Regions from separate parts of the Mus musculus genome. Here all the other regions are reported to be linked to region 1. Evidence: microRNA targets listed by miRTarBase, many of them from high-throughput screens and not tested one by one. Region 1 holds a microRNA gene; each other region holds the end of a gene's coding sequence.

Region 1 (4,491 bases):
AGAAAGAGAGAAAGAGAGAGAGAGAGAGAGAGAGAGAGAGAGAGAGAGAGAGAGAGAGAGAGAGAAAGGAAGAAAGAAAGAAAGGAAGGAAGAGAGAGAGAAAGAAAGAAAGAAAGGAAGGAAGGAAGGAAGGAAGGAAGAGAGAGAGAGAGAGAAAGAGAGAGAGAGAGAAAGAAAGAAAGAAAGAAAGAAAGAAAGAAAGAAAGAAAGAAAGAAAGAAAGAAAGAATTATCCTTCTTGTTGCTGCTGTTTGAGGCACAGTTTCACTTGTAGCTGCTTGGCCTACCCATTGCTGGAATTAAAAGAATGTGCCATTATACTTGACCAAACCCATATCTCTATCTGCTTCCCCAAGCCTAAGACCTAGCAAATTGCTGGTGAGGCTTGTTTGTTCAATTAACAAGACATCTAAAGTATATTAAATATGCCTGGAATTAATGACTGAACTGGGCATACTGGTATATGCCTATTCCAGCCCTTGGAAGATTGGAGACAAAGACTTATGAGTCCCCACTAACCAAAGAACACACATGGGCTGGACCTAGGCCTCTTTGCTCACATGTAGCCGAGGTGTAGCTTGACCTTCATGTGAGTCCTAAACAGCTGGAGCAGAGGCTATCCCAAAAGCAGTTGCCTGTCCCGGAGTTATGATGGTCAAACTGGGCTGCTTTGTCTGGCCTCAGTGGGAGAGGAAGCACCTAGCCCCACAGACTGGAAGTGCTGGGGGGGGGGGGGCGACTCAGAGGAGAAGACTGGGGTTGGGGGAAGGATTGTAGAAGGAGGTGACCTGGAGGGGGGCAGTGAGTAGGATGTAGGGTGAATACATTTTTAAAAATTAAATTAATTTTTTAAAAATGTTCCATTACACACACACACACACACACACACACACACACACACACACACAAGGTGTAGACTTAGGAGTCCTAAATTATTCTTGGCTATTTAATGAGCTTATGGCCAGCTTGGCGTACTTGAGCCTTGTCTCCAAAAAACAAACAAACAAACAAACAAACCCTAAACTCCAAGTCTGCAATATGCCTCTGTAGCTTTAGCCCTGCCGCCTGGAGACCTAATTTCAATCCATGGAGCTATTTAAAGATATTTAATAAATAATAATAACAACAACAATAATAATAACAAAAGAAAAACAGCCGGGCATGGTGGCACACGCCTTTAATCCCAGCATTTGGGAGGCAGAGGCAGGCGGATTTCTGAGTTCAAGGCCAGCCTGGTCTACAGAGTGAGTTCCAGGACAGCCAGGGCTACACAGAGAAACCCTGTCTTGAACCCCCTCCCCCCCAAAAAAAACATATTTAAGCATAGGAGAAAACTAACTCTATCATATTGTTCTTGGACCTTCATATTCAGTGTGGGAAAGAAAGAAAGAAAGAAAGAAAGAAAGAAAGAAAGAAAGAAAGAAAGAAAGAAAGAAAGAAAGAAAGAAAGAAAGAAAGAAAGAAAGGTAAAAAAGAGGGAGGATTTGAAACTCTGGATTTAAAAAAAATTCAAACGAAAGAATAAACTGAACCTCCCACATTCTTCCTTTATTTATTTTTATTATTATCTTAATACTGAATGTAGCCCTGCCTAGTCCCGTGCCTAGTCACCATAGTAGACCAAGCTGGCCTTGAACTAACAAAGATCCTCCAGCCTCGGCCTAGAAAACTATAGGATTAAAGGCGCTGCTTCTAGAAACAAACAAAGAAATCTGTTTCCTCTGGGGGGTGGGGGGGAGAAGAAACCAGTGAAGGTCACTCTGCCGCAGGGAAACTCAGCTCAGAGGAAGCAGGGTGGTAGAGTAAGGATTCTCCGGGGTGGGGGAGGGGTATCAGAGCCTCCCAGTCCAGGGGGCCAATGAGCCTTCAGACTATATAAGAACCTAGAGCCTCCCCCACGCCTCTCAGAGACTTCTACTCCACATCGGGAATGCTGGTCTCTGCGGTCTTCAGGGATACCTCCGGCGTGCTGCTTCTCACATAGGCAAAGGTAATATTTTTAGTTTCAGATTTTTTATTTCCTTCAGTTCTGTGGTTTTAATCTACCTGGTTTAGAGAGGCGAAAGTAGATCCAGGATTTCCAGAAGAGAGATCTTCCTGCTTCAACTTTGGAGATGACTAGCCAGGCTGGCCTTTAACTCTCATTTCTGCCTGCCTCTCTGCCTCCAGATTAAAGGTCATCACGGCCATCTTCATTCTACTTTTTAAAAACTAGAGCCCCTTTTTTAAAAGGCAGGCTAGCCGCGAACTCAGCCTTCCTCGCTCGCCCCCACGGTTTGGCTGGGTTTACTAATCCCGAGGCAGAGGCAGGCCCATCTGAGGTTGGTCTGGTCTCCAAAGAAGACATTTAGAACTAATGTGTGTGGAAAAAGAGTTGGGCTTTTTTTTCTGACTTGGTCTACATAATTTCAAGGGAGGAACGAGCCTATGTGGGGAAAGTGAGTAGTCTGGGCGCGAGTGAAGTTTGGGGACCAGAAACCAAAGCTAGGAGTTACTGAGGGCAGGTCTAGGGAGTCTATGCAGTACATTTCATTAACTACGTGGTTTCATTGTAGAAATTTTGAGTTTCACTATACCTTGAGTTAGACCGATGTACTAACTCTTCCTTGATTTCATCCAGGTTTCCTTCAGGTTGGAGTGAATTTTAAGTTCTCCACGTTCTTTCCTCCTGGTAAATGTTTTAACGTCTGGACCGCCTCATCTTGCGGTACTCAAACTATGGGGGCACTTTTTTTTTTCTTTAAAAAGTGCCGCCTAGTTTTAAGCCCCGCCGGTTGAGAAAACGGCTATCTGGCACATTTACCAGCCCTGGTGCCACGTGTTCCGGGTTAACTGCAGCGTGGTGAGTACGGATTCGAAGAAAGGAATGAGACTGAGTATAGCGAAAGGCTAGGGATGGGCATCCTGCCCAGTAGACGGTAACTGAGGTGGTCGTTGTAGGGTACCTGGGGGCTCCATGTGCGTCCTGTCGCTGCTTGGAGCTGTTACACCTATGTAGCGGCCATCAAAGTGGAGGCCCTCTCTTGAGCCTGAATGAGAAAGTGCTTCCACTTTGTGTGCCACTGCATGGGGAAAACATCATAGCTTTGCATCTGACGCATCGGTTTACAGGAGCGGACAACCTGTGTGGGGGTTTAGGCTTGGAGTTTAATGGGTCCTATCCTAAAGAGGGCGGTTCAGTTGGGTGCCACGAGACGCGGATGGATGTAAGGCAGTCGTGAGTCCAGGTGCATTGTAGATTGTTCTTAAGCTTGACCTCCAGCCTGTGATACTCAAACTGGGGGCTCTTTTGGATTTTCATCGGAAGAAAAGTGCCGCCAGGTTTTGAGTGTCACCGGTTGAGAACTCAAAACGGCTAAGAACTAAGAATTAAGTTTTAGTGGGTCATGTTTTCACTGGGGTTGCATTTCTGGGCAGGTGGGTGTCACATGTGGGTTTGAGTCCGAACACTTGGGCGCATGCGGTACTAAAGGCTTTCCGCGTTCATAAAGGAGCCGGGATCCCACATGGGCCTCGCTCGGAGGAGCTGAGCCTCAGGTCTTGGAAGTTGGAACATACAGTGTCGATCAAAGTGGAGGCCCTCTCCGCGGCTTGGCGGGAAAGTGCATCCATTTTGTTTGTCTCTGTGTGTACATGGCGTCTGAAAAGCCGGCTGCAGCTGCAACCTGGAATCGCTTACCTGCTTGAAACAGGTATGTGTGCTGGAGGTGAATTCGTTGCCACTGGCTACTCGAGCTGCAAGGCTGGAGGTGAGGAGGAAGCAGGGCAGGGTGGAAGGAGGCACTCCAGGTCCAGGGGTGGTGAGTCTAAGCCTCAGGTCTGAGTAAAGAAAGGCCTACTTTTAAATCTCACGTGGCCGCCATATTAAGTCCTCTTTCAATTTTTTTCCTTTTTCTCCAAACAGGGTTTCTCTGTAGCCCTGGCTGTCCTGGAGCTAACTCACTTGTAGACCAGCCTGGCCTCAGCTCCATCCACCTGGGATTAAAAGATCCTATATATCTTGCTTGACTACTGTAGTTGCTATATCTTGCTTGACTACTGTAGTTGGACTGATGGTTGTGAGTCTTGATATGGTTGGATTGAATTTTTAGGACCTGCTGGCTGTAGCTGACTTTAACCTGGCTCCTAGCACAAACAAGCTTGGTGGACAGCCGGGTAGATAATACCCATAATACCTTTTGGCTTTACAATAGCCCAGGCTCATGAGGGCTGGGATTACAGGTGTTACATTGTGTGCCCTAAGCATAATCTTCATGGATTCTCTTTGTTTTTCAGGTGTTCCAGTTGAGTTGAATGTAATCCTGCCTAGCCTGGGGTACTTACTTGCCTTCAACCTGCCTGGCTGGCTGGTCTGGCTAAGAACTGACTATAAAGTTTCAGGTTTATTACCACAGCAGGTCCCTGTGGAAATGCTTCAATCTGTGGTACTCAAACTGTGTGACATTTTGTTCTTTGTAAGAAGTGCCGCAGAGTTTGTAGTGTTGCCGATTGA
Region 2 (4,491 bases), not on the chromosome of region 1:
ACAGCTTCCTGGGTGTGGACCAGCTGCAGCATGCTACACTGGCAGATTTGGTGGAATATCACAAGGTGAATCCAATCATATGTTTAATTCACACTAGGAATTATTGTCCTATAGATATATAACAAAGAATATAGATATATAACAAAGAAACAAACAAAGAAAATAAATATATAACAAAGAAAGGCCTGACTAGGGATATAGCTCAAGTACCCTTGAGCAAAGGGATGGTGGTAGCACATAATTTCTGCTGGTAACAAGGGGTTTTAATTGTATTTCCTTTCTCATATCCACCTGGCATACTCAGAGATATCCCACGGGAGCTGAGAATACTAGAGATGTATATTCTGAGCATATCTGAGGGTGTTCCTATGCTAGAACTTGGGCTTCAGTAGGACAGGGAAACTGAAAGGAGGGAAATCTCTTTTAGTATTGTCATAAGCCAATCTAGGTATGCATAAACCCAGGGTAGAGGAGTGATCTCCCCTAAGGAGCAGCATGAACGTCTACCACATAGCTGCCTCATGGCCCTGTGCTTTGATTGACAGGAGGAGCCCATAACCTCTCTGGGGAAGGAACTCCTTCTGTACCCCTGTGGTCAACAAGACAAGCTGCCCGACTACCTGGAGCTCTTCCAGTGACAACTCTCATCCAGATCAGCCTCCAACTTCCAGCTGGTTTCCCCTCTGGACAGACACCTCTGAGATGGACATTTGTGTGTGATGCCAAAATCTCTCTGTGACAGAGCCAACAGTGAACAACGTCTGAGGTCTTCATTGAAACCTCTCTTCTGCATAAATGCTGGATTCAGTTTAAGGGGGTGTTACCTCTCTCTCATCCTCATTCTGAAAGGAAAAGGGGGAAGGTACCCACATTTGCAACATCCTAATATGAAGGATAGGACCTTGAAGGATATGACCATGATGATGTATATAAGATAAAAAGGACAAGGGTACACTGAAATCTTTTTAGCAATTAAGATGTTATTTTAAAAGAACAAGTGAACAATTTCATGATCTACACACTCCCTTTTTGTTATTCACTCAAAGGTCTCAGTATTCTGTGTGTATAAATTTTTATCTTGCTTTTAGAATGGTGGAAAAATGTCCCCACTGAGGGATGAGATTATCTTCAAAAGACCACCCTTTCTGTGTCTGTTGGAGTGAGGTTATAGAAGACAGAAGAGAAAGACCCAAGTGTAAATTGAAAGACAAGTTTCAAAACTTGAGATGAGAGACTTACCACATATGAAAAAAACCAACCAACCAACCAAAGGTTTTATTGTGACAGTAACCCTGAGTGTGATGGTTTGAATATGCTTGGCCCACAGGGAGTGGTAGTATTAGGAGGTGTGGCCTTGTTGGAGGAGGTGTGGCTTTGTTGGAAGAAGTGTGTCACTGTGGGGGTGGGCTTTGAGACCCTCCTCCTAGCTGCCTGAGAGATTCAGTCTTCTGGTTCCCTTCGGAAGAAGATGCAGAACTCTCAGCTCCTCCTCTGCCATTCCTGTCTGGAAAATGCCGCGCTCCTGCCTTGATTATAAAGGACTGAAACTCTGAAGCTGTAAGCCAGCCCCAATTAAATGTTTTTCTTTAAAGAGTTGCCTTGGTCATGGTGTCTCTTCACAGCATTGGAAACCCTAACTAAGACGCGTGAGTAATCTTAGGGTTTGTTTCTTCATTCTTCTCTACTCCCCCCCCCCCCCATCTGAAAGTAAATATAAAAGATACTGTGCGTGGCCATGTAAGGACTTGTGTGGTCCTGATTCCAAGAGAAGAACTGAATAAGTGAGTGGTTTGGATACCACCTATTGAGGGATGAATTGTGTCCCACACCAAATATACATGAAGTCCTGACCCTTCTGTATCTGAGTATGAACTGATAGAGAAATAGGATCTGTGCAGAAAAGATAAGTAAGATAGGCTCCAAATCTAATGAGTTGCATCTGTATAAGGGAGAAAGATAAAGAAAAAAGACAAACATGAGGATGGAGGTTAAAGGACCACAGAAACAGAGAGTAGAGTGGTGTAGGGCAGGGTATGGCGGGGATTATGAAAGGCAGTACGGCCCAGGCCCAGACTCTCCCTAGGACTCTATTAGGAAGCATGGCTTTGTTCATTTGCATCTTTATTTAAGCCTTCAGGGATTTAGAAATGTGAGATAATAAACCTCGAAATCACCGAATAGATGGCAACTTTTTACAGCAGCCTCAGAAAACTAGTGCAATAGTTTATGTAACCATGTGTCCTGCACGAGTTGCATGGATTTGTTTCTTGCTGCACAGTGTGCACCCTCAAGAGGAAATAAAAGTAGGATATAGGAATAAGACCCCGAGTAATGCTGGCTAGCCCTGGGACACAGATTTATTCAGCAAGTAATCTCCTACCTGCATCATCCTTAAATCAAAACCTCTAAATCCATTCCTAGACCAGCCTCAGTGAGGGGAGGCCAACCTCTGCTGAGCAGGGAGGGCATCTGTGAGTCACTTTTGCCTGGGAGGAAGTTACTTTGCCCATAGCTAAGCATTTCTTTTTACTTTGTCTTTTAACTAATGTAGATGGCACTGCAGTCTGTCCTTTGTGTGACTCACTCATTCCAAACACAGTGTACCAAAGTAGAGGCTAATGTGCACTCAGTCAATTGCTTCTTGAAATATTCCATTGTATTGTTAAATTTCTATGAGTCTCTGCCATTTCACTTTGTTGTAACATGGCTCAGAATCTCTGAGCTGTTCCCATCTCTCTCCACTTTTCCCTAATTATTTTGAATAGGCACTTTACCTAACTATGTTAGTTACTTTCCTCACTGCAGTGACAAAAGTACCTGACAAAAGCAACTTAAGGAAGGAAGGGTTGACTTTGGCTCATGGTGTGAACTCGTGGTCCATCACATGGGAAGGGACCGTGGGAGGTGGTGCGGCAGCTAGTCACATAGAACCCATATTTAGGAAGTAGAGAGAGATGACAGCTCTCTCCTTTTTATTCAGTCTGCGATCCCAGCCCATGGAATAGCATTGCCCACATTCAGGGTAGGGTTTCCCTCTTTGGCTAATTCCTTCTGGAAACACTTTCACAAGCATATCCAGAGGTGTTTTCCCACAGCGAACCTAAATCCAATCAAATTGACAAGATGAAGCATCACACTATCCGTCTTAGTTTGGGTTTCTTCACTTCTGTGAAGAGACATCATGACGATGGCAACTCTTATAAAGGACAACACTTTACTGGGGCTGGCTTACAGTTTCAGAGGTGCAGTCTATTATCATCATGGCAGGAATCACTGGCAGAAGGGCACTTTCCTCCACAGTAAGTCAGAGAGGAAGCTCTCATTCCTTATTTGGCAGAGCCTGAGCATAGAAGCCTCAAAGCCCACCCGCATAGTGACACACTTCCTCCAACAAGACCACACCTATTCCAATAAGACCATGGGCCAAGCACAGTCAACCACCACACTATTCAATCCTCAGTTTTACTGCACAGGAATGGTCTTTTAACTGAAGGACCTTTATTGTTCCTCTAGCTCTGAAAGCATACAGATCTGCGTTCTGTTACTCAGTGGAATAAGTCAAAAGTATCCTTTAATCACTGATAATTTTGAAGACATTTGAGATACCAGCATCATCCTCTGCCTAAAATTGTATTGTAGGCAATAATTATGGCTGTGTCCAAATGTATCTGTGTTTAGCGACTGAAAGAAGATTAAGAAACATCTCAATCCAGTTAACCTGATATATTACCAAGAGGAGTACCCTTGACTTCTGTAGTGTTTTATCTTACAGGTTCTAAACATGCAGAGGAATAAACTGTCTAGTGCTCAGTGATACAATGGCCAGGAGGAATATTTGAAATTCTGAGGGACACTTGTGTGTTGGGCTGAAGCCAAGTGCTAGTCCCTGCCCACATTGATTCTTGTTTGTTTGCTTCTTTCTTTCTTTCTTTCTTTCTTTCTTTCTTTCTTTCTTTCTTTCTTTCTCTCTTTCTTTCTTTCTTCCTTTCTTCCTTCCTTCCTTTCTTTCTTTCTTTCTTTCTTTCTTTCTTTCCTTCTTTCTTTCTCTTTCTTTTCCTTTTTCTTTCCTTCTTTCTTTCTTTCTTTTTTTTTTTTTTTCAAGACAGGGTTTCTCTGTATAGCCCTGGCTGTCCTGGAACTCACTTTGTAGACCAGGCTGGCCTTGAACTCAGAAATCCGCCTGCCTCTGCCTCCCAAGTGCTGGGATTAAAGGGTGTACCACCACGGGCCCAGCGATTCTTGCCAGTAAGAGTCTGGAAACTCCAGGCTACAGACATCTCAGACTTTTATGGACATGGCAAGCCAGGCCAAGAAGTGTTAGTCAAATCTTATCCAGGCTAAGGAAGAACACCGGAACAATCAAGACCAAAAATGACCAAAGAGACCACTAGTCATTATTCTAGTCTGCTTTCTATTGGTGCGATAACACCAAGACCAAAAGCAACTTGGAGGAGAAAAAGATTTACTTTGTTTACACATCCAAATAATAAT
Region 3 (4,491 bases), not on the chromosome of region 1:
TAGAAGTCAAAGTATTATTTTCAGATATGATAGGATAGATAACAGACCCTAAAAACTCTACAGATTCCTGAGCTGACAAAACACTTTCAGCCAAGTGGCTGGATACAAGATTAACTCCAAAAATCAGGAGCCTCCTTTATAACAATGACCAAAAGACCGTGAAAGAAAAGAAGAAGAAAGAAGAAAGAAGAAGAAGGAAGAAGGAAGAAGGAAGGAAGGAAGGAAGGAAGGAAGGAGGAGGAGGAGGAGGAAGTATCTTGGGGTAACTCTAACCAAGCAAGTGAAAGGATTATATGATAAAAACTTTAAGACACCGAAGGAAGAAATTTTAAAGAGAGGATGCAAAGCTCTCCCATGCTCATGGATCAGTAGGATTGGTATAGTAAGAATGGCCATCCGACCAAAAGCAATCTACAGATGTAATACAATCTCCATCAAATTCCAACATGATTCTTTACCGGTCTTAAAAGGTCAATTTTTAGCTTCATATGGAAACACATAACCCAGGATAGCAAAAACAATCCTGGTGGTCATCGCCATCCCAGATTTCAAGTTGTGGTATAGAGCTACAGCAATAAAAACTGCTTGCTATTGGCACAACAGACATGCTGATCAGTGGACTCAAACTGAAGACCCAGACATAAATTCACAAACCTATGGACACCTGTTTTTGGTTTTTTGTTTTGTTTTTATAAATAAGCCAGAAATACACACTGGAAAAAAGAAAGCATCTTTAACAAGTGGTACTGGTCAAACTGGATGGCTGCATGTAGAAGAATCCAAATAGATCCACACTTCTCACCCTGCACAAAACTCAAAATCTAACCAAAGAATAGTCTTAAACTCACTAGCAGAGGGAAAGACTTTCTGAACAGAACACCATTAGCATAGGAACTAAGATCAACGGTAAATGGGACCTCATAAAACTGAAAATATAATGTAAGGCAAAGAACACCATTATTCCCACAAAGCAGCAGCCTAAGAAGGGGAAGATTTTCCTAAGTATGTATCACTGTTATCCAAAATACAGAAAGAACTAAACTAGGTATCAAGAAAACCGTCCAATTAAAACATGGGGGACAGATATAAACAGAATTCTCAGGGAGGAAACACAAATGGCTGAGAAAACACTTTATAAAACTGGAACCATGACATTCCCAAGTATACAGATGGGCCTAGAAAAAAAGCCATCCTGAGTGCAGTAGCCCACACCCAAAACAAGAATGGTATTTATTTGTGTATGGATATTAGCTATTAAGCTGTGATAATCATGCTTCAATCCACAGAACCAGAGGTTAGGTAGAGTACAGGATTAGGAGGAACAAATCTTGATAGGAAAGGGAATTAGACTATACTTATGGATGAGAAGGGGGCTGGAATGGGAAGTTCAAGTGGGGAGGAACAGGGGAGAGAGAGGATGAAGGAACACAGAAGAGCCAACTAAAATTTGGGCATTTGAAGAGTTGTATAGAAACCTAATACGGTAGAAGCTTCCTAAAATATATACATATATGAAGGCAATCTATATCCAAATAGTGGGAGGGAGAGAGCCCCAACTGGCCATCTCTGTCACCAAATGAGGTTTTCAGTAATTGGGTTACATCGAATTGAGTTGTTGGCCAAAGGGAATCTGCAAACCTAGGCTGTTGCTAGAATCAGTTGCTCTTCACAAAATGATGACAAGGACCCACTCAACATGGAGAAGTTGAGGTGATGCCCACAGAGCCTCCAACCCTATGATCTAGCATCTTTGGTTCAGGAAGGTACTCTGATACTAGCAAGAGAAATGTAAGCACCAACCAGCCATAAACTCTGACAACGGTGTCTTCCCTGCAATATATGCTACTGCTACGAAGGCACAAAGCGTGTGGGACTAATCAACCAGCACCTGGTTTGACTGAAGCACCCCTTCCCCATCCCACCCGAGATGGAAACCATACCAAGAACCTAAGACTGGGTAGCCCAGAGACCTTAGGTAAAACCAAATCCTAATGATCTTTTAACAAAATATATAGTGATAAAAATGACTCCCAAGCTGTCCAGCCATCACCAAAGCTTCTTCCGACCACACCCAACAACCAGATTCGCAACCAGATGTTATGCAGAGTGCCAGACTCTGGCACGCTCAGCCCGATACAGACCACCGCAGAAGAGGAAAGAGGGGAAGGAGGGCAGCAAGACAAGGCCATCTAAACCAACATGATTAAACCGTTACCACCTCAGAGATTGAGGGAGCAGCAGAGAGCTTGCACGGGTTTGCGCCAGGTCCTTTGCATACATGTTACAGTTTCTAATTTAGTTTATTTATGGAACTCCTGAGTGTGCAAACAAGTGTTTCTTGTGTGTTCTCTTGGGTTTTCCTAGCCTATTTCTGTTTTATCTTACTCTATTGTTTTACTGTTACCCCTTAGAATTCTAATGATACAAGAAGGGAGTGGCTCCAAATAGGAGAGGTAGGGAGGAACTGGATGGAAAGGGTGAGAACCCCCCCCCCCCCCGCCCCGTCAAGAACCCTTAAAAAGGCTTCTTGCAATTACAAAGTCCATTCCTTAATCACATAGTTCTTCCACTATTTCTCACTGTGTGAACTTCAAACTGTCAACATTTAATTTTAGACTCTATTTTAAAGTCTGAAAGTCATTTTCTATTGCCTTTTAAGCAGATTTTGAACATTTTTACCTAAATTGTTTCTACACTTTCTTTCCACAACCCTGCTTCTAACATGCTAGGCCCCACTCCTGCCTTTAGATCACTGCAGATTCTCTGCCTCTCAGATTCTATTGCTGTCAACTTATTTTCTGAACTCTAACTCAACTATCTATTACTTCCACGAAGATCAGGTTCCCACTATATGTAAGATGTATTTCCACACATATATACTGCTCTCCGGAGAACTATATATTCTTTATACAACCGTTTTAACTAAACTATTGGTAAAATCCATGAGGGTAATGATTCTCTATGCTCTGCTCTCCCACTAAAACCCAATACTGGCCGTGAAGCAAGCCTTCCCATTTCTACTCAAGAATGACCAATCACAGGAAACAAGGCAAACTGAGGCTTATGTTTGGAGTAAGTCCAAGCTCTGCTGTGCACTGACAATCTTTATCAGGTTAGATACACAGCCATCTTATTTCTGCTAACAATAAAAACAAAGAGCCACTTTGTGCAGAAAAATTGCCAAAGCAGGTTTTGGCCAGGGTTCCTGTGTGTTTGTAGTAAGCCAAACGCTCCAAAGCCATTCCCCTGAAGAGTGTAAGAAAGATCCTCAACGTCGCAACTAAAGAACTGAGCTATGGGGGAGGAGAGACTACAGCCACTGAAGCTGGGCCCGTAACTAACTGTTCACCCAGGTTTTAAGCCTTTGGCTCCAGCAAAACTTTAAAGAAATCAATGTTGCACAGAAAATTGTCTGAATTTTTTAGAGTGTACAGTTTTATTGTCTTTTGTTGAATACACATTTGTCTTATTGCCAGTCCAGATAACCAAGTATATAAAGAAAATACTAAACTTTGCTTTTGGCAGAAGCCAAGATAACCTGTGCAGATTAAAACGACTTACTTCAGTCTAAGAAATGGTTTTGAATCATACAAATCTTTTATGAAAAATAACTGTCCAAAAGCATTCTCCTAGCTTGTAACACACTTCCAGAATAACTCTCAAAAAAAAAATTCAAAAATACTACCATAAAAATATGTCAATACCATATGGCTTTATGAAATAACTTCTAAATTTTTTTGATTTTTATTTAAAAAGTTTCCCAAGTTTTAAATAAACAGCTAGCAACATTTTCTTCACTTAAAAGTGCATATATCTGGGAATGGGACATACATAACTTTTTGAACAAATAATGAATTTTACAAATTAACACACACAGTTAAGATATTTTAAGAGGCAAAGTTTTTCCAGGAAGTCATCTAGACTGCAATAGATGACTCTTTACCTTTTCCCCACAGCCTCGGATTATCGAGGAGGGGCTCTGGCAGTCTTAAGACACATCACAGTCTCTACCAGGAGACACTGATGACAGTGAGGTCCGTGGAGATGGCACTGGTCTCGATGGTTCAGCCTGAATAGACACATTACTCGACTGGCTCTCCAAATCAGAGGCAAAGGTGCTTTCTTCTCTTACATCAAGAGTTTGTTCAACTGGGACTGCCGGCGAGTCACAATTCTCCACAGTTTGGCTGGTGCTCAAGTCATCAGCAAGTGCTGTAACGTCACAGTCCTTGTCCAGGACACCAAGCTCATCTTCGATTGTGACAACATCTTTAGTTTCAAATGCTCCATCTTGTATAGGCTGTGGAAGACTGCCATTGCTACATTCAATACCCGCCTTTACTTCAGACTCTCCATCGCTGTCACTGTCGATGGTTATAACCACCGGCGACCGTGAAGTATTATCTCCATGGTGTTTCTTATGCTTCTTCTTATGTTTCTTCTTTTTCTTCTTATGGTGTTTGCTTGTGTCCGTAGCCTTTCCTTCATAAA
Region 4 (4,491 bases), not on the chromosome of region 1:
CCTGGAAAGCAACCACTGGCTATATAATTAAATTACTGCCATTACAACACTACATCCCAATTTGGGAATGAGGCAAAACTCTTCCATCAAAAAGGAGTATGAGTTATCAGTAACAGGGGGTTATGAACTTAGGTTACATCAACTGTAACATCTCACTTCACAGAGCTTTGAAGCACTGCTTTCATAGTTCAGAACAGACCAGACCAGACTACTTTCTGTCAAGTTACGATGCCTGCGTCACACTACCCAAAAGTTGTGGCTTCCTCCACCCAATGCCCAAGAATGGATTGTTCTGTCCTGCTAGCCACTCACATCTGAGATCTGATAACAAAGAGTAATTGCTATTTGTGCATGCCCATGATAGTTAATGTGTTCTTTTATACTCACAGCTAAATAACTGCTTTGAAAATAGTTTATAATTCTTAACCACAGGGAACAGGAGATGCCAATCAAATATAATGCTCTTGATACTGTCACTAATTTCCTATTCACTGCTGCTCTATTACCACACCTTATTCTCATTTCCTTTTAGGAAATAAATACCCTGAAAGCAGATAACGATGCTCTGAAGATCCAACTGAAGTACGCACAGAAGAAAATAGAATCCCTGCAGCTTGGGAAAAGCAATCATGTCTTAGCCCAGATGGACCACGGTGATAGTGCTTAATCCAGAATTTCAAGGACCAGAATCTGCAGGAGGGTATACTGGGATCTCACTTCAAAACTCATTGCAGACGTTCAGCACCTTTAGATTGACTGACTTTAAAAGGGTAGAGCTGGCCACTACTGTTGACATCCTTGGTTTTTACCTAAACGGTTTTTAATGTGAGTCGTTGGTTTTCAGTCAGTTGAATCAAAGGGAAGAAAAGCTCAAGCATGCAAAGTCTGAGCATTCCTATTCTAACCTTCTTTCTTTACTGAAACCAATACCAAACATGCGCTAAAATAAGTCTAGAGTTTCCTGAGGGTGTCCCAGGCAGCCCGCTTTACTGATTCATACTTAGATAAAGAGTCCCTGGTGAATCCATTTGCTGCCTTCCGCAAACTGACTTACTTTGTTCTACCCAAACCCCGCTCATAACGGAAACAATAGCCTAAGCGTGGTGACTTTGACATGCCTGCATTGTTTGTGAAACTGATCCCTACAGTGTTCGCTACCTCAGACCTCATCAAGAGCCTCTTTCCCCACTGTCCTTCACTTGCCCGCCTCCTTCCTCCCTTGCTTATAGGCACATCAGCACATCTACCTAGAAGTGAACTCCTAGCGATGTAGCCTGGTTTTAAATCCAGAGCTTCTTAATTGAACTTGACATTGTCTAATTGCAGGCCAACTTATAGCTCTAGGTCTTAGTCATTATGAAATACAAAATAAAACTCACTCACTACCCACAAACAGCAATTACCATGGCATACACACAGCTAAATAGCTAAGTCAAACCACAATAACACGTTTATCCAGATAGTCTTTCTATAGTGGGTAGAATTAAGAATCTGTGACTTTTTAAAAGAAATGGTCTGTGAACAGTGTTTAATTCTTCATGTTCTAGTCTCTCTCTCTCTCTCTCTCTCAAGTAATCTATCATAAGGTTCTCTTTTGAACTGAATTTGTGCTTAAGTTGTCTTCACTTTTATTATCTACAAATAAGCTAATGGGTGTGACGGCTTTCATAGCTGGCAGTATTTACATGTGTGTAGAATGTATATATATAGTATCAGACATGCATGGAGCTTGGACCTTCTCCCTTAGAAAATGCAGACGTGAATCAAACACCTTTTAGTCACTTACACAAATTTGCAAGTATAGTTCTGCTCATTATAAGGCAAACTGCTAACAATGTAAATTGTTCTGCTTAACAAAACCGTGAGTAACAGTGTCCCAGTATTCTTTCGTGAAGGTTAAAATCAGTGGGTTTGTCTTGTTGCCTGTGAAGCAATTCACAAACTCTCTTGTCAGCTTCCTTTTAGCTTTCAAAAAACATCTCATCTGATTGTGTCCTTTTGAGGAGACTGTTTCCATGCTAGGAAGGTCTGGCACCACACTAACTTGTAATTTAATATGCAAGACAAGCAATTTAAGAGTCTCATCGAACTAAATAAGTTCCAAACCTAGCTGGGCAATGGGGACACATGCCTTTAATCCCAGCACTCGGTGGGTAGAGGCAGGCTGATCTCTGTGAGTTTGAGGCCAGCCTGGTCTACAGAATGAGTTCCAGGACAGCAAGGGATATGCTGAGAAACTCTGTCTGGAAAAATCAAAGGAAAAAGTGTTTAAAAGTTTCAACCCTACGACCAAGAGCATAAAGTCTACAGAGGAATATGAACTGTACATGGTGCTGCCCCCTAAAGGACTCAAATCATTTAAGATATTCCTTTGATGAAAGACCACTGCCTGTTTGCACACCTCTTTGGAGCATTTCAGTGACAAAGAGCTGGCTTGTGGTGAGTGTCTCTCTAAACTTTAATGAACTACTTTACACACAGTTATCCTTCTTCTACATCCCATCTCAGAAACGTGAAAAGCATAGCACCTGGTACTACGCCTCTGGCAGGTGTCTATATTATGTGGAAACTTTTATGGAGTGATAGGACTAATGGAAGACCTCAAAATTTGTATTTTCACTCTGTTATGCACTAGTACAAGTGTAGAGCTTGATTCTTTAGACAATGCCTTTTTCTTATTTCTCATCCCCAATAAAGATCTCCCAGTGAGATTTTGTGTAAATAATCTGTAATATAGGAATTCAGAGGGCCTCAGTCATTTATCACAGCTAGATGACCTTACAGACAGCAGAAAGGACAGGAAAGATAGTGGGAGACAGTAGTTTTCCTCACAAATTCTTACATTCCAGCCAAGACAAAGGATGTGTGAAGTCTGAGTTGGTACTGTTCCTGCAGAATGGTAGGAGCAGGTGGGATCTCCTGATACAATCTGGAACAAAGTTTGGCCTGTCACATGAGGTTTTGTTTACCAGGCTGTCTTGAAATGTCTGGGCAGATGGGTGTCTGCCAAAGCAAGGACTGATCCTGTCTGTGAACAGCAATGTCTCTGCTCTTCTTCTCTGTGGAGTGACTCACCCATTTACTGACCACTTGTGAAATTGTCTAAAGATGTATACTGTAAAAGCTTCGAAAGAACTGTACAAACTGTAAGATATTTTATACCTATTTTATGTTTTCTGTGTCTCATATTTATATCATAAAAACATTGGATCCCTATAACTTCAAAGTCGTGTGCTTCTTCACTTTATACATATGTAGGCATTTTGTTAAACTTTTTACTGGAATTCAAACCAAAAATGCTCCTCCAGTCTATTAAAAAGGGTTTTCTGGGGGGGGACCCCTAGCTTATTTGGGTTAAAATGTTCTTCCTTTTTTACAGGATGAGGAAGTAACAATGCAGATATGTCCACCTTATAATGACCTCTCTGAACATCAAGTCTGTCAAAGGCTCAACACCAATTAAAGGGGCCAAAGCTATCATCTCCTGTGGCTCTTATCTTAATGCCACAGTTCTAGCTAAGAAAACCAGTAAGGAAAGAAGACAAAGTAGACAGAAAGACGGTTCAGTCTCGTGTCCCGATCCACTCAGCAATTCATCTGTGGTCACTCTTTGGAGTGATCAGAGGCACCATTTGTTCTCCCTATCCAGATTTTGATGATGGGACCCATGCAGAGGAGGATGCCAGCCACTCACACATTGCACATTGTGGTACATTTGGGTTGGGGGATGGGGTGTATCTCCATAATTAATGTTATTTTAGGTGAAATAACGAAGTCATTCTGACAAGCTGACCCTGAACAGAAGGTGAAAGTGCTTCTTGCCCACCCTCATTCCCAGCTCACAGATCTCACCACAAGCTCTTCGTTACAGAGTGGATAAACCAGATATCACTCACTATGTGTTTTGGCTACAAAGCCTCACGGTTTGCCACAAGTCCTGGTAAATGAGAAACACCTAGTTCCCTCTGATGTCAGTTCATGGGGTTGGATGGTACTGAGCTCGCTCAGCCCAGGGGAAAAACTCAGTTGCTACTTTAATTTGGAAATTTCTAGTCCGATTTTGTCCACAGATGCTCATAGGTGGATAAAGACATAGAAAAGGGGGAAGACAGTAAGTATAAGAAAATAGGAGGAAAAAAACCCCATGAAATTAAAAATAGAATCAACATGCAAAAAGGTATCAGGCTTCAGGGAACTGTGAAATGCCATCCATCACAAATGTCCATGTGCCCTACCTAATCCATTTATAATGTTCTTGTGTGATGAACCATAAAAGCCCTAAGTCGCCCTACTGCCAGACCAGGCATCACATAGCAAGCAGTGTGCAAACACATTTTGAGCAAATCTTCTTGCTGCAATGAAGTTCACAGGCTGGGTATACAGAACTGGCTCCACTCCACTGTAATTCCAGAAGTGCTCAACTGGGGAAAGACTTTCCAGTAGTTGTTGGGGAAAACCCCAACAGCACTCATAAAAGGGACAAAACAAACA
Region 5 (4,491 bases), not on the chromosome of region 1:
TCAAGATCAGGATCACAGATGAGCCTTCCAATTCTGGATTGTAGTTCATTCCACATATAGTCCATTTGACAACCAGGAATAGCCACTACAGGGGGTAAAGACTATAGCGGAAACTTGAAAGCCTAACTTTTACCATTAGTCACATGGATGTACATAATGATAGGATGTAAAATGTTGTGTGTATATGATATAATGTAACTAAACCAATATAGACTGTATTCAAGTTACATAAAGATTCAATACAATGAGGTCAAGGATTAAGCCTTACTAAAGTCCCTAAAACACTAAATAAAAATTAACCTGGCATGTACACTTGGAAGCAGTTGGCACAGGCTTGTACTTTGTTTTGTGCCTTGCCTTTCATCTGGTCTCTAATGTTAACTCAAAGGTTCTTGGTGGTTCTAAGCGTTGCCTAGAAACCCATAATCTAGTGAAGAATAATGGAAAATCACTTTTCCTTAACATAGTAACTAGCTAAGACAGCAATGCAACGCTGAAGGTGCAGCTCAGTGGGAAAGTGTTTGGTCTAACATACATGAGGGTCTGGGTTCAATCCCCAGGAACTGTGCAGAAAGTTTCCATAGCACAGTTCCATTTCATTCTGTGTGATGCATATGTAATGTAGTCGTGTTTAATGTTCCCTATCCAGGAGAAGACGGGCGACTGGCGTACGAGCAATTAGACAAATTCCCTCGAGATTGTGTTAAAGTGGGAGGTCGTCATGGAACCGAAGTTGCCACAGCCTTTTAAATTTCACGTTAACCCTGCCTGACTGCTATTCCGATGATACCTGGCCCCTGTTCTCAAGAGGGTGCTGTGATGTGGCCAGACAGCAGAGAGCTGCTGCCGCTGCCAAGACGGAGATGTCCAAGTCCAATTGCACTGTACTGTCTACTTTTCCTTAGCCCACAGAACAGGGCTGTGTATAACTCCCTGGACTGCATCGTAGTTTTGACTGACAGCACTTCAAAGTAGAGTTTGAAAGTAGTCATCTTTATGCCTTTGTGGAAGTTCATCTGTAAGCTTGAATTCTTCATGTGCTATTTGGATACATACATATCGTATGCCTTGCCGTCTTTCTGCTGTGTTCTCAGGGTTGAGTGGCCCCTTAGTTACCGAATTTTATTAAACAGACAAAGCACAAAAGGAATGTACTGCAAATAAAAGTTGTTGTTTTTTTTTTTTATTTTTACAGAGCCTGGCAAAAGTGATCAGCTATAAGACAGTAAGTTTTGGAGCTGAGGGTGTGGCTCCCTTGGTAGAGTGCTAGCCTAGGGAGCAGGAAGCTTGGGTCTATCCCCAGCACTGCACAAGCTGGCTATGCTGCGCATATAAAATCAGTGCTCAGAAGAGAAGAAGGATCAGAAGAAGTTCAAGGTCATCTTCAGCTACCTAGGGAGTTCCCAGGGCAACCTGGGATACATGAAGCTATGGGGGTTGAGGAGACCTAAGTTTTCTGTTTTTGTTTTTGTTTTTGCTTTTTTGGTTTTTTGAGACAGGGTTTCTCTGTGTAGCCCTGGCTGTCCTGGAACTCACTCTGTAGACCAGGCTGGCCTCGAACTCAGAAATCTGCCTGCCTCTGCCTCCCAAGTGCTGGGATCAAAGGCATGCGCCACCACGCCCGGCTGGGACCTAAGTTTTATAGCTTAGTTTTTTATAGTTCCTACTATTTGTTTCTATTTCCATCCTGAGAATCCCATATCATCTATCCATGTGGTTTAAGAGAGGAACGGAAGAATTCTGCTTCGTTGAGGTTGTGCCTATACTATTAAAAGTAAGCAAAACCTTAAGCTTTCGTTCTTTAACCAGAGCCATCTTTATCACACTCTTGGTTTTTTGTTGTTTGGCTTTTGTTTTGTCTTGAAACAGAGTCTTCCTATTGTAGTCCTGACCAACCTGGAACTCAATATACAGTCCAGCCTGACCTCGAACTTGCAAGGGTTCTCCAGCCTCTGCCTCCAGAGCTGGGGTTATAGGCACAAGCCACTAGGCCTGGTTCTACATGTGTAATTTTTTTTTCTAAGACAAATACACACGCCTAAGTTGTAGATTCAGAAAGATGTATTTCTCTTTTAAGTGAAAACCTGGACTTTGGATGAATCCTAAGTCACTGGACTACATTGTAGTTGTGACTGACAGCACTTCAAAGTCCATCTTACCTTACCGTAGAATTTGACACTGGACAGAATATTGAGGTACTGAAAGTGGTTCCTGCTTCTATAGAATAGCCATGAACCTTGGAAGCAGGATGCCCTGAGAGATGGAAACTGCCCCATAGTTTCCACAGCAGCTCAGTACCAGGGTAGAGATTCAGTCTCTTACAACGTGTGCAAGGAGTGGGGATGCCAAGACATCACAATAATATGTGTGGGTGCAATGTGAACTGTATTCTGGATGTGTTTGTATAAAATACCAATTAGATATTAGTTCCAATATTTACATTTCAGCAAGACTTTTAAAAGTTCCTTTCATTTTAAAGTGAAAATTGTTCGCTGGGCTTCTTGCAACACATCCTTTCAACTGTGAAGTCCCACTGTACATATCTGTATTTTTGTAAATGTTATATATATGCATATATCCCTCATTTTAAAAGTATGTTGTACAGTTATAGTATGTATAGGCTACAGTCTTTGTTAAATGGTTGAAATGTCTCTTTTGTAGAAAGTGAAATCACAGCTATTACAGGGCTTTTGTTTGGTTTATTTGTGGATTTGAAACAGTTTTGAATATTGCATGGATAATTAATTTCACATCTTTTGTATCCACCTCTGTGTCTGGCTTTTGGTTGGGAAGTGCTTTTAGGTTTGTGATATTTGTATTCATCCCTCTTTCAATCATGTAAGTCAAAATAAAAATTATTTTTAATTACTAGTCTAGTGTAGAATCTGATATATATTTATTTATCATTTTTATCTGTTACTATGTGTGTGTATAATGTGGTGGGGGAGGGGTATACATGGTGCACCTGTGGAGGTCAGAGGACAACCCTGTGGTGTCCATTCTTTCCTTCCACCGTTACGTGGGACCCCAGAATCAAGCTCAGATTGTTTTCAGGTTTATACAGCAAGGGCCTCACTCACCGAGCCACCTCATGGTCCTTCTCTGTTTTCCAGTCCCTTCCAGAGTTAGTATTTATACAACACACTACTCCTCATTGTCTACTAGAGCTTCTATCCTGAAGTGAAAAGCATAAGGGAATTTTGTATCCCGACAAAGTAGCAGACTGGAGTCCACAGGAGGAAAGCAACCACTTAAAACACCTTCAGACTGAGCCAGCAGCCTTCCTGCCTTGCCTGAGTGATGCTATCCCACCAAAACCAGCCTTCCAGTAAGTATCAAGGTCTTTACTTAGTGAACGTTCTAGCTAGGCCTCTGCCCACTTTGTATTGGTCTTTGCCTCTCATCTATACCCAATATAGGTTCACTGAATACACTCGGAGTTTCTTCTCCCAATTTTTAAAAAAATGTCTTGATTTAGTTGCATATGTGTGTGAATATGTACATGTGTATGTTGGGCTTTGCACTTGTACACACATGAAAGCCAGGAGAAGTCAGATGTCCTCTGTCCCTCACTGCCTATTCTTTTGAGGCTCTCTCTGAATCCAGGGTTTTGATCATTTGTCTAACCTAGGATCTAACGAGACCCAGCAATCCCTGTCTCCTCACCCCTCCTCAGACCTGAGGTTATAGGCAAATATACAGTGCCCACCTGGGATCCAAAGCAAGCGCTCTTAACAGCTGAGCCACCTCTCCAGCCTGTTCCCTGCCCACCCTACCCTGGTTTGAGACAAGGTCTTTATAGCTGAGGCTGCCCTTGAACTCATTATGCAGCAGAGAATGACCTCAGCGGGAGCTTCCATTGAGATTTCAGAAGAAAAAAACTGAAGCATGCATGTGTGGCAGTGTAGGAGTCCTGCGAGGGGTACCCACCCACCCCACTCCACCCCACTCCACCCCACCCGAGGATGACACCTCATGAAACTGCACCGAATGAATCCAAAGTCTGCAGAGGAAGAAGTTATGACCTGACTGTGTCGTGTCTGCCCAAGAAGCCGCAAGCAGTAGGCAGAGCCAGGCTGAGGGAGCAGCCACCTGGTTGGCAAGGCTTTTTTTGGAGCCCACATCGCTGTGTCCTGTATGTTGGCCACGAAGCTGGAAGACCTCATGTTTTCTCTGCGGGGGTTTTACCTTCACCTTTGATCCTTCCTTTTGGTACCATAGTCCTCCCTTCTGGAATGGGAATGTACCACTGTAGTTTGGATTTGGAGCTGACCACCAAGCAGCCCTTCCTGCAGCTATGTATGAGCTCACTGTTTTTTTGTGGCTGACACTGAAGAATGCGACTAATAAGCCAAAAAGTTATGATTATAATACTCATGCTTTGTTATCTCAATGTCTATTTTATGAGGAGAGTGAGAATGGAGGTTCCCAGAAAAGAAGCTGCACTGCACGTTAAACATCCGTCAAAGGCTGACCAGCTAATTAGGACTT
Region 6 (4,491 bases), not on the chromosome of region 1:
GCTTTCCTATATTTGCTTTCAAAAAATATGTTATTTTGAATGGAGTAATCTTTTTTTTTTCCTTTTTTGGTCAAATCTCATCTCTGTTCCTTTAGTTTGGGCAGAAATATTTATGAGAAAAGAGAGGCAGAACAAAATGACCTAGTGATCCCATCCACCTATTGAAAGTTTGGTTGGTGATAACAGTCCACGCGAGGCTCATGGTTAGGAACTCAAAGAGGAGGAAAACTTGATGAGGAGGTAAAGAGTTCTTTCTCGGCAGCTTGCCCTGCACTGTGAACATGTACTCAAAAGTATTTGTGTTTCATTCCACATTATCCAGTGCTCTGGGGAAGGAATCAGGGTAGACCTTCCCAGAGGCTTACTCGGTTTCCCCGGGTATGAAGCTGAAGGAAAGCAGCCCGCTTCTCTTCTTTCTGCTCCTCTTCTGTCTGGCCTTTTTGCTCTCAGTTAGAGACAGGTGGGATTCATCCAGTTACTGTCATTAATAAAACACCATGATGATGCGTAGCACCCTGAGCTGGTGATGACAGTGATGGTGACGGTGGTGGTAGTGGTGGTGGTGATGGTAGTAATGATAATGATAAGTGGGTCTCCAAAGCCAGAAAATGCATACATTTGGGGTTGCATCAAAGCCATGCTAGACACCAGGGAAAACTGAGGCTAGACTTCCTTTGCAAATAGTGTTTAGGGCTCTCTCTCTCTCCAGGCACTTCTTTCTGAGTAGTTTGTTTGTTTGTTTGTTTGTTTAACTCCTCAAATTACTGGGGGTGAGGAGGTATTGCTTTTTGACTATCTTTAATAATGAACAAAAATAATGCAAGGTACTAGGAGTATAGGGATCCTGGAAGGCTAGTGTCTACCATACTCATGTGCTGGCTACCATCGCCAGAACCACATAAAATACAAAGGACAGTGATGGCCACCTACAACTCAGTAATGGGTAGGCTGGAGGCCTGAAGGTATGCCCCTCCAAAATACAGTTTTTCCAGGTCTGGACTTAAGAAAATTCTGTTGCCAAGTAGTACTTCCTCTGGTCCTCACAGGCAGAGGAGTGTTCTGTCTCTGCTCACTGATGTCGTGGGTAGAGAAGGCATAGCCTAACACACCTTTGGTCCAGTAGAAGTTCACTTATTTATTGCTTTGCCTCTTAGATGCCCTAAGCCAGAATTTTCCAGTCTCAAGTATGAGGACAGCAAGAATATATGTGAGGCTGGGCAGTGGTGGCGCACACCTTTAATCCCAGCACTTGGGAGGCAGAGGCAGGCAGACTTCTGAGTTCGAGGCCAGCCTGGTCTACTGAGTGAGTTCCAGGACAGCCAGGGCTATACAGAGAAACCCTGTCTCAAAAAAAAAAAAAAAAAAGAATATATGTGAAAATAAAGCACCCATTTAGGAACAGTGAGTGGCTCCATTGGCTTTGCCACATGAGGTATGGTTCTCCTGAAGGCTTTGGCAGGTCAGGAGATGAGAGAGCTCTGTCTCCACGGGAGTGGCTCATGCTGAAAGCACACTTTGAGAAAATATGTTCCTCATCATTCCCTTCCCTGTTGTGGGTCCCACAGAGTGGATCCTGTACCCCTAGGAGTATTGGAAATGGAGCTTCATGTCTATCCCCTAAGTCATCCTGGTCAGTTGAAGTCCTACACAGCAGCCTGGGCATAGATCAAACACAGCTGTGGGGAGCCTAGATTCAGTTATCTTCCTCATCTCCAGCCATAAAGGTGAGCAGTTGAAGGCCTGGAGGTAAAAGTGATGCTTTTAGGGTCATGTCCGTATATGCAGATACTACCATGGCTCTAAATTCATCTGAATGATCTGAAAGGCTGGTAATGCTGGTCTGCTGGTAATGGATTAGCTGCCAATCTCAGTTATTGCCAGGGATCCTGTTCCAAACACCCAAACTTCAACTGAAAGCCAGATGCTGAGTTGATTTTTAAATGCACTCATTTCAGGCATCCCACTGAGCCCGATCTTTTTCCCATTACTCTCCACCTTGTGTTTTCAGAGAGAGAGAGAGAGAGAGAGAGAGAGAGAGAGAGAAGAGAGAGAGAGAGAGAGGGAGGAGAGAGAGAGACTAATAAAAATATCTTCATTTTAAATTGGCCAAAAAAAGGTATTTCTCTAATATATTTCTCTAAGATATTTCCAAAGGTCTTGAATCTGCTTGTTATTAACGTTCGATTCCTGGATATCAACTTGAGGGATGGGTGCCTTTGTTCCTAGAAACCAAAGTTCTCTAGTCTGAGAACAAAGACTCTGAATCTCATGATGGAGACACATTCCATGTCTCAGCTTTTCAAACAGCAGAGACAACTAAGATGAAGCCTCCCAGAGATACTGAAGTGACTCACCAGGGATGCCTTCCAGTCCCCAGACAGACCTGTGCAGCTGAAACAACATTACCGTCAGCAAGTTTAAGGGACACTTTTGCAAGTTTAAGGGACACTTTTGTAAATGGACACTTTGAAATAAACATGTCAATCATAAGATGGCTCTAAGCAGTTTTAAAGGCTGGACATTTTTTAGCTGTTCTCTCTTCCCCTTTCCCTTTCCCCTCTATCTCCTTTTTTTTTTTTTTAAGAAAAAAAAAGAGAGAGAGAGAACTTTCTTCATGACTAATCCTTGGTTTGGTATGTGTCACGCCAACAAGATAGGGCTCAAGTCCTCCAGATGTACTTTTAACTGTGAAGTGGACTAAGGTAAACTTAAATGGGAGCATTTAAAATAGAGCCCATCACCTGGCTCACACATCCTTTCCTTACGTTCAGAATGAAAGCCTCCTAAGGCTTTCTGAGCCTACAGTACCAGCTTCCAGTTAGGGACAGTATAAAGGTAGACAGGGTGCCCTGCAGTGGAGTTGGGGCCTGTGCTAGCGCAAAGACAAATGAATCTAGGAGTTTTGTTATTGTTTCTCAATAATCAGGTGTGTGTTAGCATCAGTTCATTCTGATATTTTCATTCAAATATCTGTTAAAACAATCCCCTCCTGCCTCCCCCTCTGGATTATGCTTTTACCAAGACCTCTCACTCACTTGAAGCAACTTCCCAACTTGTAACTTTGCTTGCCCATAAACCCAAGGCTATCAGAAAGTTAAGAGTGAGGGGATACAATATCTAAACTTCCTGCCAGCTTACTCCCTAAGCAGTTGGTTGAACTTCCTCTCATTCTGACAGTTTCAACAATACCAAGGGGGCTGGGGGGGGGGGGGGGACGTGAAGGGGAAATGCCAGAAGGCAAATGTACACAAAGGCAGCCATCCTGAAAAAGTCCCTATAGGAAGGGTAGAGCACTCTCACCTAGTTAAGTAGTTTTAAATTGGTTTGCTGTCTGTCCTGTGATGGAAAGGAACTGTTTCCATTGTAATTAGCACCAGTAACTCCTTCGATGATAAATCAAGTGATAAGAAAAAACTTTGAAGCCCCATCCCCCCACCCTGTCCCACCCCTCTGACTCCTTTCCCCCTAATTAGGAACCAGAGGAACCAGTTGCTATTGGATTTGAAAAGGGTGTTTGAGTGAGGTCTGTCAATATCCACAAAACTCCCCACAATGACAAACCAACACACAGCTTTCACCCCCAGACATATCAAAGGCACCAAGAAAATACCTGCCTATCCCAAGCCACCAGGTTCTTAAGTGGAAGGTGCACAATTTTTTTGCTGAGAGTCCAGTCAAGTCATTCAGAATGATGTGGCTTCCCCCTCATCTAAGAAGGTAGCTCTGAAGGTAGTGGCAGCTGTCTCTAAGGCCACATAGTCTTCAGCAGTCTGTCCCTGGTGTTGGGCTGTGGAAAACAGAAGATTACAGTGTGAGATGCCATGGAACTCTGCCATATCTGCATCCTTGGTCCCCTTGCCGCTACTCCACATGAACTCATAGGACAGATAGGCACTTTTGGACTGGGCTGCTGAGGTTGGCTTTAAACAACAAATGGCCTGCTGACTGTTTGTCTCTGCTCTCAGTTCTGTGGTCTGTGCCTCCCAGGCCTACATCTGGCTGCCCAGCTACCCAAGTAACCTATGGCACTTTACCTGTACTGATTCTCCGGGGCTTGGCTCTCTGCTCGCTCTGGAACCCAGGAATAGCTGTCGGCTGCATTCTGAGGCTTCTTCTCTTTTATCTCCTCCTTCTTGGCTCTCCGTTTATGATAAATGAGAATCCCTAGGGCCAGCACCAGCAAGAGTGAGATGGCCACCACCGTCCCCAGGATGTAAAACAGAAGCAGGTTCTGCCCATCGGTGTCACTGTGTGCAGACACAGAATCTTCATGTGTCGGCTTGCTGTGGCCGGAGGTCGTGGGGAGGTATGTGCCCAACTCGAACCAGACATCAGATACTTCACTAGGGATTTCTATTTCTAGTGGAACAGAGGCAGTGGGAATATCTGATTGGACGAAGAGACCTGTTGTCTGTGCTCTGTTGGAGACATCCTTAGAGCCACTAGGAGAACTGGGCATTTCAGTAGGAGGCATAGTACTCTCCTTTCTGT
Region 7 (4,491 bases), not on the chromosome of region 1:
GCGCGAAGCGCGCGAGCTGCGCGAGGCCCGCCAGCGTCTGCTGCGTCGTTGCTTTGGCGACGAGCCGGTGCTGCGACCCGCTGCCCAGATTCGTACAAAGCAGCTGCAGCCGTGGCAGCCTAGCCGCAAAGTGGACATCATGGGCTATGATCTGCCTAGCGGCGGCGCTGGCCCTACTACGGAGGCTTGCCTCAAGCTTGCTATGCCCGAGGTGCAGTACTCAAACTATCTGTTGAGGAAGCAAAAACGCCGCGGTGGTGTGCGGTCCAGGCCAGAATCTGTCCTGGATAATCCTCCCCCTCGGCCCATAAGAGCACTGCCCCGTATCCCCCAGGGTACCTGAGATCCGCCTGCCTCCAGGAACTCAGGTCTTGCTCCATTAGGGCCCTTTTATTCCCCACGGCCTTGAGCCCTGTGTCCAAATGGAGGTGCGTCTGCATCTGAGCCTGCCATCCTAGTGTCGCCCGTTCGAACCCCACTTTCTGGGATGGCATTGATGGGCCACCCACTCCTTCCCAACTTGTTGGTGACTTTGAGAAGAATCCAAGGGCGTTCTAGTACTGCCCACCCTGCCTTTTTCTGGGGACTGAGCACCCCACCTGTCATTTGGGGGTGTTGAGCCCACACTTGTGTTTAGTGGATGACCACAAGCCCCAGAGAGGGACTAAGTCCTGGGAAAATGCTGTACTTCCAGTCAGCACCTGGGCTTTTGTTCTTCCCAGGGCTGCCTAAGTCCCCTATTGTCTTCCAGGTTCTACCTTCCCTACACACACCTAAGCTGCTCCCAGACACACAGAACCAAGAATTCTTCGGTTGGGCTTTTTGTTGTTTGACTACTACTACTACTTCTTCTTCTTCTTCTTCTTCTTCTTCTTCTTCTTCTTCTTCTTCTTCTTCTTCCTCTCCTCCTCCTCCTCCTCCTCCTCCTCCTTCTCTCCTCCTCCTCCCCCTCTCCCTTCCCCTCCCCTCCCTCTTTTTCCTCTTTCCTTTTTTTTTTTTTTTTTTTTTTTGAGACAGGGTTTCTCTGTGTAGCCCTGGCTGTCCTGGAACTCACTCTGTAGACCAGGCTGGTCTAGAACTCAGAAATCCGCCTGCCTCTGCCTCCCAAGTGCTGGGATTAAAGGCATGCACCACCACTGCCCGGCCTCTTTCCTCTTTATTCTTTTTTAATAAAACAACTCTAAATTATGCAGGGTGTATGTCAATTATTGAAAGCCAGAGTCCCCAGGTTTGAGGATGAGGCAAATCTTAGTGAGATACCGTGGCTGGACCCACCCAGACTTGACCGAGTTTTCTGCTGCCTCTTCCAAAGGCCCACACCTTCCTCAATCCTTCCACCTGGCATAGCCACACAACCCATAGCATTTTGAGCTCCATCCATTTGCCAAAATTTATCTTTGTATTCAGTTCAACCATATTTCCCATCAAATGGAATGCATATGAACAAGGGAAGCAAGTCTAGAAACCATGAACAACTACAATATGGCTTTGGCAGGCTGGAAACAGGGTCATTTTCAGGTAAAGGGGTTCATAACTCCAGTTTTACCCCACACCCCTGTGAGGCCTGGACTTCACCACTGGGCATTTCCCCCCCCCCACAAGAAGATAAGACTTGGATAATAACCCGCCCCTACCCCCCCACAAGAAGATAAGACTTGGATAATAACCCGCCCCTCCCCCCCCACAAGAAGATGAGACTTGGATAATAACCCGCCCTCCCCCGTTTCCTTAGCACAGCTACATACGCTGGACTTGTCTTCTTTCTTTTTATTTATTTATTAATTATATGTAAGTGCACTGTAGCTGTCTTCAGACACTCCAGAAGAGGGCGTCAGATCTCATTACGAATGGTTGTGAGCCATCATGTGGTTGTTGGGATTTGAACTCAGGACCTTTGGAAGAGCAGGCGGCACTCTTAACCGCTGAGCCATCTCAGCAGCCCCCTGGACTTGTTTTTAATACATGGCTTCTCTGTGCAGCTCTAGCTGTTCTGGAACTCACTCACTCTGTAGACCTGAATGGCCTTGGACTCAGAGATTTGCCTGCCTCTGTCTCCTGTGTGCTGGGATTAAAGGTGCACACCACCACTGCCCTGAGAAACTCTTAACTTTTAAATAAAATCTCCCTTTTTTATTGGATATTTATTTACATTTCAAATGTTTATCCCCTTTCCCAATTCTCCCCCCCCAAACTCCTACCCCCCTCCTCCTTCTATGAGGGTGTGCCCCCACCCACCCACCCACTCCTGCCTCCCTGCCCTCAAATTCCGCTACACTGGGTCATCCAGCCTTCACGGGTCCAAGGGCCTCTCCCCCCATTGATGCCCAACAAGGCCATCCTCTGCTACATATACGGCTGTAGCCATGGGTCCCTCCATGTGTCCTCCTTACATGGTGGTTTAGACCCTGGGACTTCTGGTTGGTTGATACTGTTGTTCTTCCTGTGGGGTTGCAAACTCTTCAGCTCCTTCAATCCATTCTCTAAATAAAATCTCCCTTAAAGAATAGCAGAGAGAGCGAGGCATGGTAGTTCACGTCCCAGCACTCGGGAGGCAGAAGCAGGTGGACCAAGGCCCAAAACAACCAAACAAAAACCAGCAGAGAGGCAAGGCATGGCAGACAAAGCCTTATCCCAGCACTCGGGAGGCAGAGGCAGAGGCAGATTCGTGTTTGAATTTGAAGACAGCCTGGTCTACATAGTTCCAGGCTAGTCAGAGCTATCAATTGAGAGCTACCTTGACATATTTAGTCAAGTATGTCAATAAAACTATAGCTAACATGGTCTGCTAGGTTCCAGCTATTATTGTAGAGCTTTGCTTGAACTAGTTTGTTAGATAAGCATTCTTTTCCTCATGATGGAACTATACCTTAGGTTAAATGATGATCCAGTCATATAGCTAGAAAATACCATCAAGATTTGAACCCAGACCCTGCAGTTTCAGTATCTGCTCCCATGTGCTGTGTCTAGTGCTATTCAAAGAGAGAAGGTCACATGCCACAGGCAGACCTTCTCCCAAAAGAATGTAAAGTAAGACGCTGCTATCAGCTCTTAGGTTATTTTTCAGTGAGACAATGGTTGGCTTGTTTGGGCAAGGAAGATTGTAGCGGCTGGCTGGCAAGCTTTATGAAACTCCATCTTATTATTCTGTTTACTCTTAGTATAACAAAATATCTGTGAGTCCACAGCTTATGAAGGGAGAAATCTCTTTTGGCTCAGAGTTCTGGAGGCTCAGAGCATGGCACCAGTCTCTGCTTAGCTGGTGAGGGCCTCATGGCAGAAGGACAAGTAGGTGCACATGAAAGAGAAAGAAACAAAATAGCATGGCACACTCTCACAGAAATTAATCCAGTCCCCAAGAACAAGAACACACACCCAACCCTGTTACTTCTCACAGGCCCTTCCTGCCTCCAATCAACTCACTTAGAGGCCAAATTTCAACACAAGGTTTAGAGGGGACAAAAAGGATAAAAACCTCAGCACTGTCTGAATTTGAATGGGGCGATTTGTGTAGCACCCGCTTTGTACCAGTAGAGCTCAGAAAGAAGCAATAATTAGTGCCATGCAAAGCTGTAATTAGGTTTCTGCTGCTAAGCAGCAATAAAGAATTGTACTAGACTTGAGGCCATCTATCTAAAGACAGGTGTCCTCCAGCTCCCAGGCCCTGAAAGTGCCATTTTACCACCTCTCTTGGTCCTATACTTGCAAGGAATATCCTTCCTCCTGCCCTTGGTTGGTGTAGAAAACTCAGACATGCTTTGTATCTGCCTTGATGGGCCTCTCCTGTGCTCCTTGGCCCTTGGACATGGCCTCTTTTATATGGTTCAAATCCAGTATAAGAACAATGCTGGATTCAAAACTACCTGTGTCAAGAAGCAGGCCACATATTAGGCAGCAAACAAAATGCATCTATAAGGAACCTTGTTACAAGGCACTGGAGACCTAAGGGATTGAGCCTGTCTACTGGGTATAGCTGACACTGGAGCTACTTGGATCAAGGGTCCTAGAGTCCCTTCCTCAAGTGCACCCTCTTAAACCCGCCCTTCCCTTCCCTCAAACCTTAGCTTTCACCTCTCTCCAAAGCTTTTTGTAAAACCTTAATTGGCTTTGACTATAGAATGAAATTTAAAGGTTGCAGTTTTTTCTAACCTGGCTAGTGTCCAAGTAATTGAGATGGAGACTTATAGATTATTCAACAAGCATTAAGCACAATAATTGGGAGATATTCCCAACCCTTTATGTTATCTAGTAACTTTCCAGCCACAGGCCCAAGTTACTGCATTCAGTCTCTCCTTGGCTCACTCTGCTGTGGCTCTCTGTCCTCCTGGCAGACTCCTCCTCATGCCCAGACTTATGGCCAACATCTTTTTTTGTTTTTTCGAGACAGGGTCTCTCTGTATAGCCCTGCTGTCCTGAAACTCACTTTGTAGACCAGGCTGGCCTCGAACTCAGAAATTCACCTGCCTCTGCCTCCCAGGTGCTGGGATTAAAGGC

Evidence for each region. Region 1 holds the annotated microRNA mmu-miR-290a-5p (ACUCAAACUAUGGGGGCACUUU, at 2,709-2,730, shown strand). A microRNA usually pairs through its seed, bases 2 to 8, with sites in the 3' UTR of a target mRNA and lowers its output. Matches are read on the target gene's strand: a 7mer-m8 pairs with bases 2 to 8, a 7mer-A1 pairs with bases 2 to 7 and ends in A, and an 8mer does both.
Region 2: miRTarBase lists Sh2d4a as a target of mmu-miR-290a-5p. Seed matches in the 3' UTR shown: 7mer-A1 at 1,409-1,415.
Region 3: the mRNA of Topors is a reported target of mmu-miR-290a-5p. Seed matches in the 3' UTR shown: 7mer-A1 at 3,658-3,664.
Region 4: miRTarBase lists Rasgrp1 as a target of mmu-miR-290a-5p. Seed matches in the 3' UTR shown: 7mer-m8 at 2,178-2,184.
Region 5: miRTarBase lists Ripor2 as a target of mmu-miR-290a-5p. Seed matches in the 3' UTR shown: 7mer-A1 at 1,490-1,496.
Region 6: miRTarBase lists Cd93 as a target of mmu-miR-290a-5p. Seed matches in the 3' UTR shown: 7mer-A1 at 1,344-1,350.
Region 7: miRTarBase lists Gal3st3 as a target of mmu-miR-290a-5p. Seed matches in the 3' UTR shown: 7mer-A1 at 532-538 and 7mer-A1 at 1,008-1,014.

Annotation. Positions count from the first base shown.
Region 1 is chr7:3,215,931-3,220,421 of GRCm38, forward strand. It overlaps Mir290a (microRNA 290a), which reads left to right and starts at 2,696; the gene lies at 2,696-2,778. It overlaps Mir290b (microRNA 290b), which reads right to left and starts at 2,765; the gene lies at 2,708-2,765. It overlaps D7Ertd143e (DNA segment, Chr 7, ERATO Doi 143, expressed), which reads left to right and starts at 2,854. Exons shown (of 1, transcript NR_028425.1): 1 at 2,854-4,491. It overlaps Mir291a (microRNA 291a), which reads left to right and starts at 2,989; the gene lies at 2,989-3,070. It also overlaps Mir292, Mir292b, Mir291b, Mir293 and a transcript of Nlrp12 not described here.
Region 2 is chr8:68,346,109-68,350,599 of GRCm38, forward strand. Sh2d4a (SH2 domain containing 4A) reads left to right here. Exons shown (of 9, transcript NM_028182.1): 8 at 1-65; 9 at 546-1,596. The coding sequence ends at 638. Among named protein-coding and RNA genes, the nearest start is that of 1700125H03Rik, 20 kb to the right of the region's middle.
Region 3 is chr4:40,256,193-40,260,683 of GRCm38, forward strand. Topors (topoisomerase I binding, arginine/serine-rich) reads right to left here. Exons shown (of 3, transcript NM_134097.3): 3 at 3,414-4,491. The coding sequence ends at 3,989. Among named protein-coding and RNA genes, the nearest start is that of Smim27, 11 kb to the right of the region's middle.
Region 4 is chr2:117,278,718-117,283,208 of GRCm38, reverse strand. It overlaps Rasgrp1 (RAS guanyl releasing protein 1), which reads left to right. Exons shown (of 17, transcript NM_011246.3): 17 at 533-3,226. The coding sequence ends at 667. Among named protein-coding and RNA genes, the nearest start is that of Fam98b, 31 kb to the right of the region's middle.
Region 5 is chr13:24,730,936-24,735,426 of GRCm38, forward strand. Ripor2 (RHO family interacting cell polarization regulator 2) reads left to right here. Exons shown (of 23, transcript NM_029679.2): 23 at 650-2,871. The coding sequence ends at 750. It also overlaps a transcript of Armh2 not described here. Among named protein-coding and RNA genes, the nearest start is that of Armh2, 8.0 kb to the right of the region's middle.
Region 6 is chr2:148,437,481-148,441,971 of GRCm38, forward strand. Cd93 (CD93 antigen) reads right to left here. Exons shown (of 2, transcript NM_010740.3): 1 at 4,035-4,491; 2 at 1-3,787. The coding sequence ends at 3,763. Among named protein-coding and RNA genes, the nearest start is that of Cd93, 3.8 kb to the right of the region's middle.
Region 7 is chr19:5,307,552-5,312,042 of GRCm38, forward strand. Gal3st3 (galactose-3-O-sulfotransferase 3) reads left to right here. Exons shown (of 3, transcript NM_001024717.2): 3 at 1-1,188. The coding sequence ends at 343. Among named protein-coding and RNA genes, the nearest start is that of Gm42064, 2.7 kb to the left of the region's middle.